Linked DNA regions of Saccharomyces cerevisiae S288C. Changing the gene in region 1 together with any one later gene gives a genetic interaction. Each region holds a gene or a part of one and is shown on either strand. Other genes may lie near its edges.

Region 1 (9,510 bases):
TTGGACATTAGCCTTCTTCAATAATTTTCTAATACCAGATGATTTTTCGGAGAAAACTTTACCGTTTTGCAAGAAGCCGTGTAAAAATAATAATTTTGGAATTTGTACAGTCATCCTTCGTTTATTACAAGCTAGAGAGTTTCAGATTTAGCTGCTACTTTTACTAGAAAATTAAGATTGGCCGCGTACATCTGGCATTTTGCACCTTTATGGTTTATATACAATATACATTGCAGCCAAAAACATTCGAAAACTAGAGAAAAAGAAAGAAAACATGCGAGAATATGCAAAAATGAAAAAATGCAAAATTTCTTTTTTCTTTGGCCTATGCGTGTTGCCTTTTGAAGATCCGAAACAATCTATCACCAATGACGTAAGCGGGAAAAGATTATGCAACATCCAAAGGAAAAAATATGCAAAAAAATCAATCATCCCATGCATACGGCGACTTGGCTCTCAGTCGGGCACCGTATTTGGTAAACAGAAATGGGACAGGAATCATCGCTACGGTCACCATTGCCAAGAGAAAGCCGGCCCAATTCACTCCCATTGACTTGTACATCTGGAGTCCGAAAAGAGGGAAGACACCGGCCATTATGCATCTCACAAATGTGTTACAAGCCATTCCAGAAGCTGCATATCTTCTATAGGCATCCACTGTATACGCAAAAACACCGGTAAAGACGAAATAAACACCTGAACCGAAAATTGCACTGCCTATAATTGGTGCAATCCAATGGACATGCTTGTAGCAGGTGAATGCAAAAATGAAGAGCCCAACTGGGGTCAAAAAGGCGCCGTAGAACAGAGGCTCGAATCTCATTTCGGGAGTCTTGACGCCATTATTTCTTTTGACTCTCCACTCAAACGTTTTTTGGAATAACAAGCAAGTAGGAGCCGAGAGTATCATGCCGACCATAATACCGATATAGGAGCATGCAATCTCCATGGGCCCAAAGTTGTAAAGTTTCTTGAACACATAAGGAAACGCTACGAAATATAAATATATTATGGCAAGTTCCAATCCAGTATAGAAGCAAAGCACACCCATCATTCGGTCTCGAAGTAACAGGCCAAAGGGTCTTTTGGTTGAGAGAAAGATTGCGGAAAGTAAGGAAGTCTGTTCGCGGGTGACTTCCAGGACAGCATAATACCGTTGATCATTTTTCTCTTTCCTCAATCTCTTAGCTTTACGTATTAACAGCATTGGTTTGTAGGTTTCAGGTATGGTAAAGATGATCATAACGAGACAACATCCAGAAGTGATGAGAAGTGTGATAAATGTCCATTTATAACTTTGATGGTATAAGGCTCCACCAATGATTGGTCCTAAAGAGGGCCCCAAAAAGGCCGATGTAGTGTATATTGCCATAGGAATACCAATTTGGTCTTTGTCGAATATATCGGCAATGGCGCCGCCAGCCACACTTAGAAAGGCTGAACCAAAAAACCCGGATAGAAATCTGCCAAACATGACACCCGTAATGGTCTTGGACCAAATGGTCAAACACTGCCATATGATACTGAGCGTAAGGGCGTATAAAAATGTGATCCTTCGTCCATATAGTTCACTTAGTGGAGACAGAAATAAAGGTCCTATACCGAGCCCAAACACATAAAGCGTAATTCCCAGAGTGCTGACTTCGTGCGAAATATGAAAGTGTTCGATTATGTGCGTTGAAGGAAGCGTCCAGCTGGACGAGATCATCGTAATTACCATCGATGTGAATGTAATTAACGAGGAAATATAATACCGGCGGGCGGTGCTCATATGCCGTGCTATATCTTCTGGGTCCGCGATGTCCTCGTTGAAGGTCACTTCATGCGATTGTTTGCCGTCATTTTTTCGTTCACTGGTCAATTCCAGATCCAGTTTTGCGGCTTTGTCTGAGTTTATTGAACAATGCTCTTCTTCAGTAGATGTCAATGCCGATGACTGTGCACTCGCTATTTGAAATTCTGCAACCATATCCTGTTGTTATATCTGCATATATATGTTCTTAGTATACAAGGTGATACCATACACCAAATGTAAGGCAAATATGCCTTTATATAGGGTCCAGGTGAACGTAACGCATCTAATAACAAGTGTTATTGCTTGACCTAATAATCTGAGATGGTCGCTTCACCGGTAGAAAAATTCTCTGCGTATTACTAATCTCAACAATAGCCAACACTAAATCCGTAGGACCGGCGAAAAGCGTGCTAATCTCCGCTTTATTGCCGGATCCGAAAGGTGTTTCTGGCATCAAGATGTTATAAATCACGGAATTAAGAGAAGGATATTAAATGTGCCATTGCATTTTATTGATATTTCCACTCACCCAGAGGGATAATAATGATCAAAACAGATATACAATTCAGCTCCACTTTTACCTGCGCAACATGACATTTCCAGAACTAGCTTACAATTCGTACACCGGTTATAATTGGTTTATGGTTTCCAATGTAGGACCAATTTTTAGAGATAAATACTGAAGCAAATATTGGATTTCTTCTGTGTTTCACACGAAGAATATGAGTGAACCATTATTCCGGCTTTTGTTTCCTACAGCAAGATGTAAGTTATCTGGTTTGCTTATTACTTAGAAAAAGGGCTCCTGCTGGTGGAGGTAAATTAGATTATGCACCTATCGGCGGGTTAGCGTTGGGCCGTAGCCTTTTGGTCGCTTGCATTTACCACGTATTTTTTCCTTTCAATTTATTATAAGCTTAGAGATACGATTTCAAGGCGCAGCTCTTCTGTTAGCAGTTTTCTCTACGACTTTGTATGAGGTTCATCTCATTTTGTTAGCTTCTATTCACATACCTACTATAACACTAATCCTGCTATGGTTCAGACCCAAATATCTTCAACCCCTGCCATAGGAACTGTAAAAAATAGATTGTAATTCAAAGTACCTTCAGAAAAAAAAAGTTATATACGGCGCATACTACACAGTACGCAATGTGTCACTTGGTACCGCTGTTCTTATGTTCGTTTAAACAAGATCTCGAGGTTTGAGTCAATGTACGAGATTTTGAAACCATGAGGGATGTGCCCTCAAACTTTATGATCTGGTTTCTTTTTTTATTTATATCGTTTTTATGCTGGGTTACGTTGTTGTTTTATATTCCTTGTCTAGTATTACGGTCAGCAGAGGCCAAATCCTATATGCATTATATGTGGTTAGCATTGACTCCTTAATAGAACGGCCAGTTATCAATCAAATTGCCTATAAGCATGGATCACTAGCGGCTAGTATTGTATTGCATTTGGAATAGCCCTCTTCGTTGAGCCACAAAGATATCTTGCGGAAATGTGGCTAAAGCAACTTTTGATGATTGCTGGGAAACGGTTTGGTAAACTGCTGAAGCAATTGTTGTACACAATACTTCTGCTTTTGGCCCCATCTGGATTTTTCATTTCCGCTTTTGCCTCAGGTGCAACAATAACTATCTTTGAGCATCGTACCACCAATACAAAAGGATATGATCGTTATCATACAGAATTTTTCATGGATTTTGCATGTTTCGGTATAACTTTACGTAGGTGAATTATTGAAGGGCTTTGTGATAGGTGTGGATGTACCTGCCGTGCGTTGATGACCTTCAACTGATCGGAACAAATTGCTATTACATGTAAAAATCTCATGTATGAGCGAATCTTTTTGTGTTATAGGCAATCACCTAGAAAAGCTTGGAAATTGGTCCTGAGTTTTTTGTTGATGGTAAGTGCATTTTTTTAGTATGAAAGGTTTACGATATTAGCTGCTAAGTTCTCCCTTGCCCTAGTGAATTACGTTTTTTTCGATTAAAAGGGTTGGTCCCGAAATTGACCTCTTATATGTACCTCAATTGCAGATAGCATCAAATTTAGACTACGTCATCAACCAAATTACACCCTATGAAAAACATAAGATTATAAGCATGCGTTTGTGTAAAGGTCATACCATTTTATACGTTGACGCAATGGTGCAAATAGAAAGGTTTACGAAAGCTCTTATTCCGCTTAGCGCAATTCTATTGTTAATTTCAAGTAAAAAGATAAATATCTCACGTCCTTATATTATCTTTGATTAAAATTTCACGATCAATGTAACGAAAAAAGGTCGCAAATATTTCTTTTTCATCACTCTGATTAAACAATGGCATCATGAAACGCTCATTGGATCGTTACACGTTCTCATTGTACATATGTATGATTTAGAACAGCTTGTTCGCCTGATCTCCACCTTATACCCTCATCTTACCGCAGTGCGGTTTTACGCCTCATGTTATTTTTGCCAGCTTTAATAACAACATCAGTAATATTACGTTATTGGATCTTCCACTCCGGTTCGAGGAAAAAAAGAGAGGAGGAGAAACGCATAAGCTACAATAATGAGTGAGTTAACGCTTTAATTTGCTCAGTGATCATTGCTAGCCGGATATTTGTGTTTTTGTAGAACCCAGCCATACCTAATCATCTCAGTATATTATCTGAATTCTTGACTCAAAATATGGATTTTCTCGAACGTCTCACTTCCAATCATCCCATCAAATGCTGTGGATGAAAACATTTAAAACACGGGCAAGAAAAAATGAGTATAGTATAGTTGTGGCCAGTTCTTGTTGTACTAATGCACTTGCTTTCGTATCAAAGTTGAAGAAGCACTGAAAGAACAACAAAAAATTTATTAAAAGCAAAAATCATTCTACGTTCAACGAAAATGTAAGGCAAATATATCTTTATATAGGCAAGCATAACCGACGCTAACTTTGTTCGAGCTTCATCAACGTTATTAATATCGTAGTTATTCCGCTTTGTCTCAATAAGCTTTTGCTTACTTGAGAAAAAGAACGAAGTTTCTGTTTGAGATTTTCCTTCTCATTTTCTTTGAAATTTAAAGGAGAAATATTCAGCTCTATACATTCTTTGTTCGAGTATGTTACACATCACCTTACAATGGGAACATCCTATGATGACATACTTCTTCTCGATGATTTATTTTTTTTCTCAGCAAACGCTGTTTTCTAGGCGGTGAAAAACGGGAGTCTTCATCCCACATTTTTTGAACTCGTTGTGAAAGTTTTTTTTCGTACTCTTGGACTTGGCTGTGGGAGTTTGACACATTTTTTTATTTTTTTTCCGTTTTTTTCCCTTTTGTTAGCGATCAAACTTTTGACTTTATGAGTAATCTTAGCTAATCATTTAGAATTATCTTCAGGGAAGCTTATTCAATTCGTGATTTTTCTTTGAGGGTTCCTGTTCAAGCAAGCCAAATTGCCCTCTCAGCTAATACCATGTCCCGTGAAGTACTGCCAAACAACGTTACCCCATTGCATTATGACATTACACTAGAACCTAATTTCCGTGCTTTTACGTTTGAAGGGTCATTAAAAATTGACCTGCAGATTAATGATCATTCGATAAACTCTGTGCAAATAAATTACTTAGAAATAGATTTCCATTCTGCACGTATTGAGGGTGTCAATGCCATTGAAGTTAACAAAAACGAAAACCAACAAAAAGCTACTCTTGTCTTTCCTAATGGAACTTTTGAAAACCTAGGACCTTCTGCGAAGTTAGAAATTATCTTTTCCGGTATTCTAAATGATCAGATGGCGGGATTTTACAGGGCTAAGTATACGGATAAAGTCACAGGGGAGACGAAGTACATGGCTACTACTCAGATGGAAGCCACAGATGCTAGAAGAGCCTTTCCTTGTTTTGACGAACCAAATTTGAAGGCGACTTTTGCAGTAACTTTGGTCTCTGAATCGTTTCTGACTCATTTGTCCAACATGGATGTCAGGAATGAAACAATCAAAGAGGGTAAGAAATATACAACTTTTAACACGACTCCAAAGATGTCTACGTACTTAGTAGCATTTATTGTAGCTGACCTGAGATACGTGGAAAGCAATAATTTCCGTATTCCAGTAAGAGTTTATTCTACCCCAGGGGACGAAAAATTTGGTCAGTTTGCAGCCAATTTAGCTGCTAGGACCTTGAGATTCTTTGAGGACACCTTCAACATAGAATATCCATTGCCAAAGATGGATATGGTGGCAGTTCATGAGTTTTCTGCTGGTGCTATGGAAAACTGGGGGCTAGTGACTTATAGAGTTATTGATTTGTTATTAGACATAGAAAATTCGAGTTTAGATCGCATTCAAAGAGTTGCTGAGGTTATTCAGCATGAACTAGCCCACCAATGGTTCGGCAACTTGGTCACCATGGATTGGTGGGAAGGCTTATGGTTGAATGAAGGTTTTGCCACTTGGATGTCTTGGTACTCTTGCAACAAGTTTCAACCAGAATGGAAAGTTTGGGAGCAATATGTTACTGACAATTTACAACGTGCTCTAAATTTAGATTCATTAAGATCTTCCCATCCAATTGAAGTTCCCGTTAATAATGCGGACGAAATCAATCAAATTTTTGATGCTATTTCTTATTCTAAAGGATCTTCTTTATTGAGGATGATTTCCAAATGGTTGGGTGAAGAGACTTTTATTAAAGGTGTGTCCCAATACCTGAATAAATTCAAATACGGTAATGCAAAGACCGGAGATTTGTGGGACGCCTTAGCAGATGCCTCTGGCAAGGACGTTTGTTCGGTGATGAACATCTGGACAAAACGTGTTGGTTTTCCAGTGTTATCTGTCAAGGAACACAAGAACAAAATCACATTAACTCAACACCGTTATTTAAGTACCGGTGATGTTAAAGAAGAGGAAGATACAACCATATACCCCATTTTGTTAGCTTTGAAAGACAGTACAGGTATCGATAACACATTGGTATTGAACGAAAAATCTGCTACTTTCGAATTAAAGAATGAAGAGTTCTTCAAGATTAATGGTGACCAATCTGGTATTTTCATTACCTCTTATTCTGACGAAAGATGGGCTAAGCTATCCAAACAGGCAAATTTATTATCCGTAGAGGATCGTGTTGGCTTAGTCGCAGATGCAAAAGCCCTTTCTGCATCTGGCTATACCTCTACTACTAACTTCTTGAATTTAATTTCTAATTGGAAAAACGAGGATTCATTTGTTGTTTGGGAACAAATCATTAATAGTTTATCCGCTCTGAAATCTACTTGGGTCTTCGAACCAGAGGATATATTGAATGCTCTAGATAAATTTACTTTGGATCTAGTACTTAACAAACTTTCTGAATTGGGGTGGAATATTGGCGAAGACGACTCCTTTGCTATCCAACGTTTAAAAGTGACCCTTTTCAGTGCCGCATGCACTTCTGGCAATGAAAAAATGCAATCGATTGCGGTAGAAATGTTTGAGGAATACGCCAATGGGAACAAACAGGCCATACCTGCACTGTTCAAGGCAGTTGTTTTCAACACCGTTGCCAGACTTGGCGGAGAAAACAATTACGAAAAGATTTTCAACATCTATCAAAACCCTGTTTCGTCAGAAGAAAAGATTATCGCTTTGAGAGCTTTGGGCAGATTTGAAGACAAAGAACTTTTAGAAAGGACATTGTCTTATCTGCTAGATGGTACAGTTTTGAATCAAGATTTTTACATCCCAATGCAAGGCATTAGAGTTCATAAGAAGGGTATTGAAAGGTTATGGGCTTGGATGCAAGAACACTGGGACGAAATTGCTAAGAGATTACAGCCAGGCTCGCCTGTGTTGGGTGGCGTGTTGACATTGGGTTTAACTAATTTTACCTCTTTTGAAGCCCTTGAAAAAATTAGTGCGTTCTATAGTAGAAAGGTCACTAAAGGTTTTGATCAAACCCTGGCTCAAGCCTTAGACACTATTAGATCCAAGGCGCAATGGGTGAGCAGAGATCGTGAAATCGTTGCTACCTACTTGCGTGAGCATGAGTATGATCAATAGCTTTTTTTTTTCACGAGCACCTACAACACAAATATATACATATGCCAATGAGTCAAAACCACGTGTAATTAATAAAGAGATTACTACTTGCTTATGTAGAAATATAGTAGCTAGCAGAAAATGAATCTGATAACATCTTCATTGACACATTTCCAAGTATAGAGAACTTTCTTCTGCTTCCTTTCGGAAGAACTGAGTGAATATTGACTGGCGTGCGTCATAGCGAGATTTTTTCATCTGATGATGTATGGAAAAAAAAAAAAAACTTTTTTTTGAATAATGGATGCATCGAGTGACTTTCATTGTTGCGCACGTTGCTTTTCCAAAAATGGTATTAATATAGGTCTTTTATCTCTTACTTCACATTTAACTGCTTGTTAAATAACCCCAGTGTTTTCTTTTTTTTGGATGAATAAGGAAATCAACAGCTGGTACACGCATATACACATATACCATGACCATTGATCTAGCTTCTATCGAGAAATTCCTCTGTGAACTGGCTACTGAAAAAGTAGGACCAATCATCAAATCCAAGTCCGGCACTCAAAAGGATTATGACTTGAAGACTGGCTCCAGGAGCGTTGATATTGTAACTGCTATCGATAAACAGGTCGAAAAGTTAATTTGGGAATCGGTAAAAACCCAATATCCAACTTTCAAGTTTATTGGAGAGGAAAGTTATGTGAAAGGGGAGACCGTGATTACTGATGATCCTACCTTTATTATTGATCCAATTGATGGGACTACAAACTTTGTTCATGATTTCCCATTTAGCTGTACCTCTCTTGGGCTCACAGTAAACAAAGAGCCCGTAGTAGGCGTTATATATAATCCTCACATTAATCTTCTGGTATCCGCTTCTAAAGGAAATGGGATGAGAGTTAACAACAAGGACTATGACTATAAATCAAAATTGGAATCTATGGGTTCTCTAATACTAAATAAATCCGTAGTGGCATTACAGCCAGGTTCCGCTAGAGAGGGAAAGAATTTTCAGACAAAAATGGCCACATATGAAAAATTACTATCATGTGATTACGGTTTTGTTCATGGATTCAGAAATTTAGGATCATCTGCAATGACAATGGCATATATTGCTATGGGGTACCTTGATAGTTATTGGGATGGTGGTTGCTATTCGTGGGACGTGTGTGCTGGATGGTGTATTTTGAAAGAAGTGGGCGGTCGTGTAGTAGGTGCCAATCCAGGTGAATGGAGTATTGATGTCGACAATAGGACATATTTGGCTGTGAGGGGAACAATTAATAACGAAAGTGACGAACAAACAAAATATATCACAGACTTTTGGAACTGTGTTGATGGCCATTTGAAATATGACTGATCGTCAGCACATTAGGCCTAATATAAAATGTACGATTAAAATGACAGTTATTTGAATCATTTTAGCTGATCACAGGGATATAGAAGGTATTGGTAGTAATAATAATAATGATAATAATAATAATGATAATAATAAATAATAAATAATAAAGCGATAGATAATGCTCATTGATTATAGATGTATAAGCAACCGTCTTGGCCAAATAGTCCAAAAACGCCAACTAGAGGCATCCATCCTTCACCTCCTCCAAACCTTTCAGCTAAATGCAAAGCTTTCTCTAAACGATCGGACTCTACTGGTTTACCTATGCTAAAACCACGAATACATAACAT
Region 2 (2,852 bases), on another chromosome or scaffold:
TGACAGCAAAGACGAAACAAAGCTGGAATAAGGGGATCTGGGAAAACGGGAAACAAGGTTCACATCAGCAAACATTTCTACCGAAAATCTGGGTAAACATTTATAGTACCCCAACATCTTAAGTTTTAGCCGTTGTCTTCTCTTATCGCCTAGAATCGCTCATTTCAAGCGTAACGCAATCCGGCTTTTGTTTTTTTTCCATTTTATTCATCCACTCTTTATCTGACTCTTCTGCACTATATTAATCAACTAGGAGAAAATTACTTGAGCAGAAAGATACGAGAGAATTACGGATAAAAAAACCAAGTTAACCGTTTTCGAATTGAAAGGAGATATACAGAAAAAAAAATGCCTTTGAACAAGTCGAACATAAGAGAGTACAAGCTAGTCGTCGTTGGTGGTGGTGGTGTTGGTAAATCTGCTTTGACCATACAATTGACCCAATCGCACTTTGTAGATGAATACGATCCCACAATTGAGGATTCATACAGGAAGCAAGTGGTGATTGATGATGAAGTGTCTATATTGGACATTTTGGATACTGCAGGGCAGGAAGAATACTCTGCTATGAGGGAACAATACATGCGCAACGGCGAAGGATTCCTATTGGTTTACTCTATAACGTCCAAGTCGTCTCTTGATGAGCTTATGACTTACTATCAACAGATATTGAGAGTCAAAGATACCGACTATGTTCCAATTGTGGTTGTTGGTAACAAATCTGATTTAGAAAACGAAAAACAGGTCTCTTACCAGGACGGGTTGAACATGGCAAAGCAAATGAACGCTCCTTTCTTGGAGACATCTGCTAAGCAAGCAATCAACGTGGAAGAGGCGTTTTACACTCTAGCACGTTTAGTTAGAGACGAAGGCGGCAAGTACAACAAGACTTTGACGGAAAATGACAACTCCAAGCAAACTTCTCAAGATACAAAAGGGAGCGGTGCCAACTCTGTGCCTAGAAATAGCGGTGGCCACAGGAAGATGAGCAATGCTGCCAACGGTAAAAATGTGAACAGTAGCACAACTGTCGTGAATGCCAGGAATGCAAGCATAGAGAGTAAGACAGGGTTGGCAGGCAACCAGGCGACAAATGGTAAGACACAAACTGATCGCACCAATATAGACAATTCCACGGGCCAAGCTGGTCAGGCCAACGCTCAAAGCGCTAATACGGTTAATAATCGTGTAAATAATAATAGTAAGGCCGGTCAAGTTTCAAATGCTAAACAGGCTAGGAAGCAGCAAGCTGCACCCGGCGGTAACACCAGTGAAGCCTCCAAGAGCGGATCGGGTGGCTGTTGTATTATAAGTTAATAAAAAGGAAATAGTTGTAGAAACGCTAAGACGAAAAGAACTCTATAAAGTTGAAACGAGTACACACATTTATAAATATATACAAAAGTAAATAAAAAAGTGACTGTTTTTATATTGCTTATTGCCATTTGCTATTTCCGTTTCATTCTTGTTAACATTGGAAACTTTGGGCAATATCATATGGTTGCCGGGTAAAGGAAAAAACAAACAACATCGCTATAACATAAAATTGGACATTGCAGAGAGTCATCAATCACATCCATTTTCACAAGAAAGAGGTGTTCCACCTGGAATAACAAGCTTCTCTTTCCCCTTAGAATGACATCTAAAGTTGGTGAATATGAGGACGTTCCAGAGGATGAGTCCCGCCTCACAGAAGAGAACGTATCCGTACCTGAAGAAGAAGTAGAAGACGAAGACGAGGAAGAAGACGACGATGATGATCATATATATATCAATGAAGAAACAGAATCTGGTCGCGAAAAGGTCTTGGTATCACATGCCCCACAAGAACGTATCGTTCCACCTTTGAATTTCTGTCCCGTTGAAAGATACCTCTATAGATCTGGTCAGCCTTCACCTGTGAATTTCCCCTTTTTACTAAACCTAAAACTGAAAACAATTATATGGCTGTCTAACGAAGAACCTCAAGATACCCTCCTAGAGTTTTGTGATACTCATAGAATAAACTTACAATTCGCAGCCATCAACCCGGATGCCGGTGAGGACGATAATCCATGGGACGGTCTCACTGAACATTCTATAATTAATGTACTACAAACGATCGTCACTCAAGAGAATTATCCCTTGCTAGTGTGCTGTGGTATGGGAAGACATAGGACTGGGACAGTCATTGGATGTCTCAGAAGAATAATGGGTTGGAACTTAGCCAGTGTATCCGAAGAATATAGACGCTTTACTGGTAGCAGAGGTGGTAGAATTCTTGTAGAGTTGCTTATAGAAGCTTTCGACACTAATTTAGTAAAAATAGACAAAAATAAAGCACCAAGTTGGTTACTGACAGCTTTGGAGTAGAGGCAAGAAAAAAAAAATGCAAAAGATAAAGAAAAAGCACTGAGCTTTATGACCATTTACCTAAAGTTTGAAATGTTTCAGGATGCACGGCCCATTCGCGAACCAACTTCTAAAGATCACACGAAATGAAATTCAAAATAAATGAAATTTATTTAATGGGTAATTTTATAGAATATTAATTATCCGATTTATATATGGACATACTTACTATGGACATGATAATGAACAAAAAAAGATATCCGCTTGATATCATGCTTGCTCCAACTTTTCATAAAGCTGTTCCCTTGCATACCTTATATTTTTTTGTAATGTCTGATCGATTTGACGTTTTAAATCACATTTCTTGGCAACATATCCTTCCTCATAAATTCGTTTCCAAGTATTGTGATATGACTTGACGAAATCAGCTGGCAGTAAATCATTTTCAGTGGCATTGACCAAATTCTGTGATGTCTGTGGAGCCCAATACTTGAATGTAGCTGCTGCCAATACCCATGGTA
Region 3 (4,013 bases), on another chromosome or scaffold:
TCAGAGGGCACAAGGAATAACACGTGACATTTTTCTTTTTTCTTTTTTTTTTTTTTTTTTTTTTTTGTTAGTCTTGGCTTCTGTGCCGTAGTCTGTATACGGTTTTAGATGCGGTATGTTTATCATCGCCCAGAAATTTGCGGGGTGCAAAGAAATAAAATCCGTGCTGAAACCCGTGCTGAAATCCGTGCACCGCATCAAATTTTCTCGGAGGATTCTTTGCGCCGGTTTTCATTTTCTTCCACGGAATACCAAGCCCATTGCATCGCGATGTTAGTTTAGCGGAGTTTCTTGGCATTGGCAAATCTCTGCTAAATGCTGCGTACAGACGGAAACTCACACCGCCGCGAAGACTGGTCAGTGGCAAAAAAAAAATAAAAATATAGAAAATAACTATTACGTATGTTACTGTTTCTGGTAGTTGATATGAAGTTGGAGTTGTATATTGTACGCTTTAGGAACAGGGAAGTGAATATTATTTACTCTGCTGCACATTCTGGCTAGGTCGAAGCCGGAACTTGAGAAGACGCCGCGCTAGAACTATGGACCAAGCTGTTGACAATGTTCAGATGGTGATGCACTACCCTGTGCGGGGAGTGGCCACGGACGCGAGCGGAAGGTGCGGAAGGTGCGGAAGGTGCGGGAGTTGCGGGAGGTTCTTCGCTAAGCGTGAGGGTTGCTAGCTGGGGCGGCGGGGTTTCCCTAAGTGTAAATAAGGCCTCGGCTGGCACATGAGTCGCCGGAGGAGGCGGCGGAGGCGACGACGCTAAAACCGTGGCCGTTGGGGAAGGATGGGCGGCTATATCTACCATTGACCTGATGGGGACTCGGTTCTTAAGGAATGGGTTTGAGGTGGGTGTGGTTGCAGCAACATCTGTAGCGATATGGAAACCCCGCGGATTCTCGTACGTAGTGGTTTTGATAATAGGTTTCTTACACACATATTTGTCGTTGGCATCAACACAAGTCTCAATTCCTTGGAACCATGGGTCTTCGAAGAGGTCGTCGATGGTGTAGCGGGTGGCGGCTTCTGGGTCAGCGAGCCGCCATGCCACGCGAGATGCATGTCCGTTCTTGAAATTTCTAGCCAAGTGATACTCCATTCCCGGCCCCGGGCGGTAATTGCCGCGATTGCGGAATGCGCGATCGTGAAGACGGATAAAGTTTTCATAAGCGTCACAGTAATCGCGGAAACCAGTGTCGAAGCTGCAGGATTCCAAAAATGGAATGACGTTGTTGACGAGGGTCATGAGGATAATACCCAGGCCATAACAGTCTAGAGCGCGTGGGTCATACGGCTGTTGCAATTCCGTATCGTAGTGCTTCTTGGAGTCGTAGAACATGACCTCCGGGGGAGCATACGGCGGCGAGCCGATCATCCCTGCGCACTTCTTGACAGGGCTGGACAGGTCGTGTGGATCCGTGTGGTACCAGTCTGAGATACCAAAATCTGTCAGCTTGCACACGCCGTCCGGGGATAGCAGTACATTTTCCGGTTTCAAATCACGGTGGGCGATGCCCTGATCGTGGCAAAACTTGACACCACACGCCACCTGTTTGAATATACAAAACTTTTCTGCTAGGGCCACGCTGCGCCAGCCCGATTTTTGTATCATCGCGAACAAATCTCGTAGACCTAGCTCCATGACGAACCCCCACCCGCGAGTGGTGTAGACGGTGGTGGGCACCTTGACTAGAAGGAAAGTATTTGTGATGTGAACATGATGACTTAGCTGCTTTGCGATGATAAACTCCTTTGAGCAGCGCTTGTAGAATTTCTCGGGCGTTTCATTATAGATCATATTGAGCTTCTTTAGAGCAAATACGTCCTTCTTGCGGTACTTGGAGCGGATCTTGCGCACTTCGCACGAACCGCCCCATCCGATGGTCTTATTCTCATCATCAAAGACGAAGTTATCGCTCAACTGGATGCTTGCCTCCTTCATCTCGTCGGGCAGATACTCGTTTGGGTCCACAATTGGGATCGGCAGCATGCGGATTTTGGAATCCCCATCGTGAAGGTAGAAGCCCAGATCAGGGTCTTTCTTCATGGAGGTAGAGACGGACGAGAGTGACGTGCTTGGGGTTGAGACGCCGTATGGATTGTACACTAATCGTTCGCTACTGAACTTGGAGTTTGAGAGATTACGCGAAGTGGACGAATGTCTGTTTCCTCTTGAGATGGACGTGCTGGAGCCGGCCGGAGGTAGGATCTTGGTTGAGGCGGAAGATAAAGATCTCTTGCTGTTGGTTGTGTGAGCGAAAGAGTTTGCACGGCGAGAGGTTTTCAACGAATTCGGCAGTTTTGGGCTGGAGGATTCGCTGTCATTAGTACTTGTAGAGTGGAAGTCTGGAGGTAGAGACGCCTTTTTCTTCAACTTGTTCCCATGGCTTGAACTTAACAGCTTCTTTCCGAAGAACTTAAATGCTGATACCGAGGAGATTGGTTGTTGGGATATCTTCGTAGAATGATTGTGTGAGACTGTCATTGGTTGGTGGTGCGATTTAATGCGTATGCTTGCCTGTGGCGTTAAAATGGTCTATACGTTTATGCTAATATTTCTTGATGTAATGCAGGGCCTATGAATACATGGAGGTTTGTTGCCGGTGGTATACGGTTGAAAAAAAAAAGAAATAGATATATATATATTTCTTCTTTGTATAGACTTCTGCGAGAAAAAGAAAAGATAAGGAAAAATGAAAAAAAAAGCGTATAGGTGCTAAGAAGAATTAAGTATCAAAAGGTAGCAGGCATTTATGTTATATATGCAACTTCGGATTTCGTTCAATACATCTTGACCGGTCTCCACTGTTACTGGCATATTTCTCGGGTTTTTCCTTTTCACCACAAGGGAAAAAAAATGCGTTATGTAATTTCACCAATATTTTTCCCGTCCTGCGTGCTCGCACAATACAATAGGGTCATGTCACGTAATAAGCAACGTGCGCCGCATTTTTTGCCCTTTAAAGGGAAACGCGCTTTGTTCTTTTCTTCTTCCTTTTCACATAAGGGAGAGTCGGCTACCAATGTCGATGGAATTCTCACCATTGGGCATCTCACCGTTCCTATCCTTCTGGAACCTATCGTAAATCCCCCTTAATTTGACCAACTCACTTGTTGAAATACTAGGTTTTGTCTCTTGACAGGCTTCCAATAAATCGTTTATTGTGACCACAGCTGTCAGCTCAGAAGCAGCTGAAGTGCTTGTCTTTGTCTCGTGCACCACATCTTGCTGCAATAGAGTCTTTAGCCGTAGTCTATTTTCTTCTCTACGCCCGTGCTCATTGATACTGAAGTATTCTATATTATCATTGCCGGGTACCACTTCCGATTGGTCTGCAGCAGACAGCCACCTATGTACAGATTTCAAATAAGCATTGTAGCAGAGCCCCTGTAAATCAGCACCCGAAAAACCAGCTGTCTTTTCAGCGATCAACTTCAAGTCTGCATTTTTCTCCAATGCAAATTTTTTTTGTCCCGTATCCTTGTCTTTTGAATTGACGATAGCTTGCAAGATATCTAACCTCTCTGATTCAGTCGGTATATTACAGATCACACTTTTGTCTAATCTTCCCGGTCTTAACAATGCGCTATCAATCAAATCAGGTCTACTTGTAGCTGCTAGTATATATACACCATCAAGGCCCTCGGCACCATCCATTTGGGTCAATAATTGATTGACTACACGGTCTGTGACACCAGTGGAGTCATGCCCTCTCTTTGGCGCAATAGAATCGAACTCGTCAAAAAATAGAATACAGGGTTTGACGGACTGTGCCCTTTCAAACAATTCTCTTATGTTTTGTTCGCTGGCACCTATAAACTTGTTTAAAATCTCTGGTCCCTTAACGGAGATAAAGTTTAACCCACATTGTTGTGCCACGGCGCTCGCCAGAAGCGTTTTACCACAACCAGGATAACCGTAAAGCAAGATTCCTGATCTCAATCTTAGGGGACAATTAACGAAAATAGGCTCATATTTTGTGGGCCACTCTAAGGTTTCTAGAAGGAC

Evidence for each region.
Region 2: mutations in AAP1 (region 1) and OCA1 together harm fitness more than expected from each alone (negative genetic interaction), as found in Saccharomyces cerevisiae (2 studies listed by BioGRID).
Region 3: mutations in AAP1 (region 1) and PTK1 together harm fitness more than expected from each alone (negative genetic interaction), as found in Saccharomyces cerevisiae (2 studies listed by BioGRID).

The regions. Positions count from the first base shown.
Region 1 is NC_001140.6:197,066-206,575, reverse strand, and holds AAP1 (arginine/alanine aminopeptidase), read left to right. Parts: upstream 1-5,265; coding exon 5,266-7,836; downstream 7,837-9,510. Other genes in the region: FSH1 (putative serine hydrolase), read right to left, coding at 1-114; YHK8 (Yhk8p), read right to left, coding at 425-1,969; inositol monophosphate 1-phosphatase INM1, read left to right, coding at 8,291-9,178; DDE1 (Dde1p), read right to left, coding at 9,343-9,510. UniProt on the Saccharomyces cerevisiae protein: Positive effector of glycogen accumulation. May be involved in nutrient-sensing.
Region 2 is NC_001146.8:438,067-440,918, reverse strand, and holds OCA1 (putative tyrosine protein phosphatase OCA1), read left to right. Parts: upstream 1-1,635; coding exon 1,636-2,352; downstream 2,353-2,852. Other genes in the region: PLS1 (Pls1p), read left to right, coding at 1-122; Ras family GTPase RAS2, read left to right, coding at 349-1,317; MIC27 (Mic27p), read right to left, coding at 2,602-2,852.
Region 3 is NC_001143.9:67,732-71,744, forward strand, and holds PTK1 (putative serine/threonine protein kinase PTK1), read right to left. Parts: upstream 2,490-4,013; coding exon 501-2,489; downstream 1-500. Other genes in the region: PEX1 (AAA family ATPase peroxin 1), read right to left, coding at 3,003-4,013. UniProt on the Saccharomyces cerevisiae protein: Essential determinant for low-affinity spermidine transport.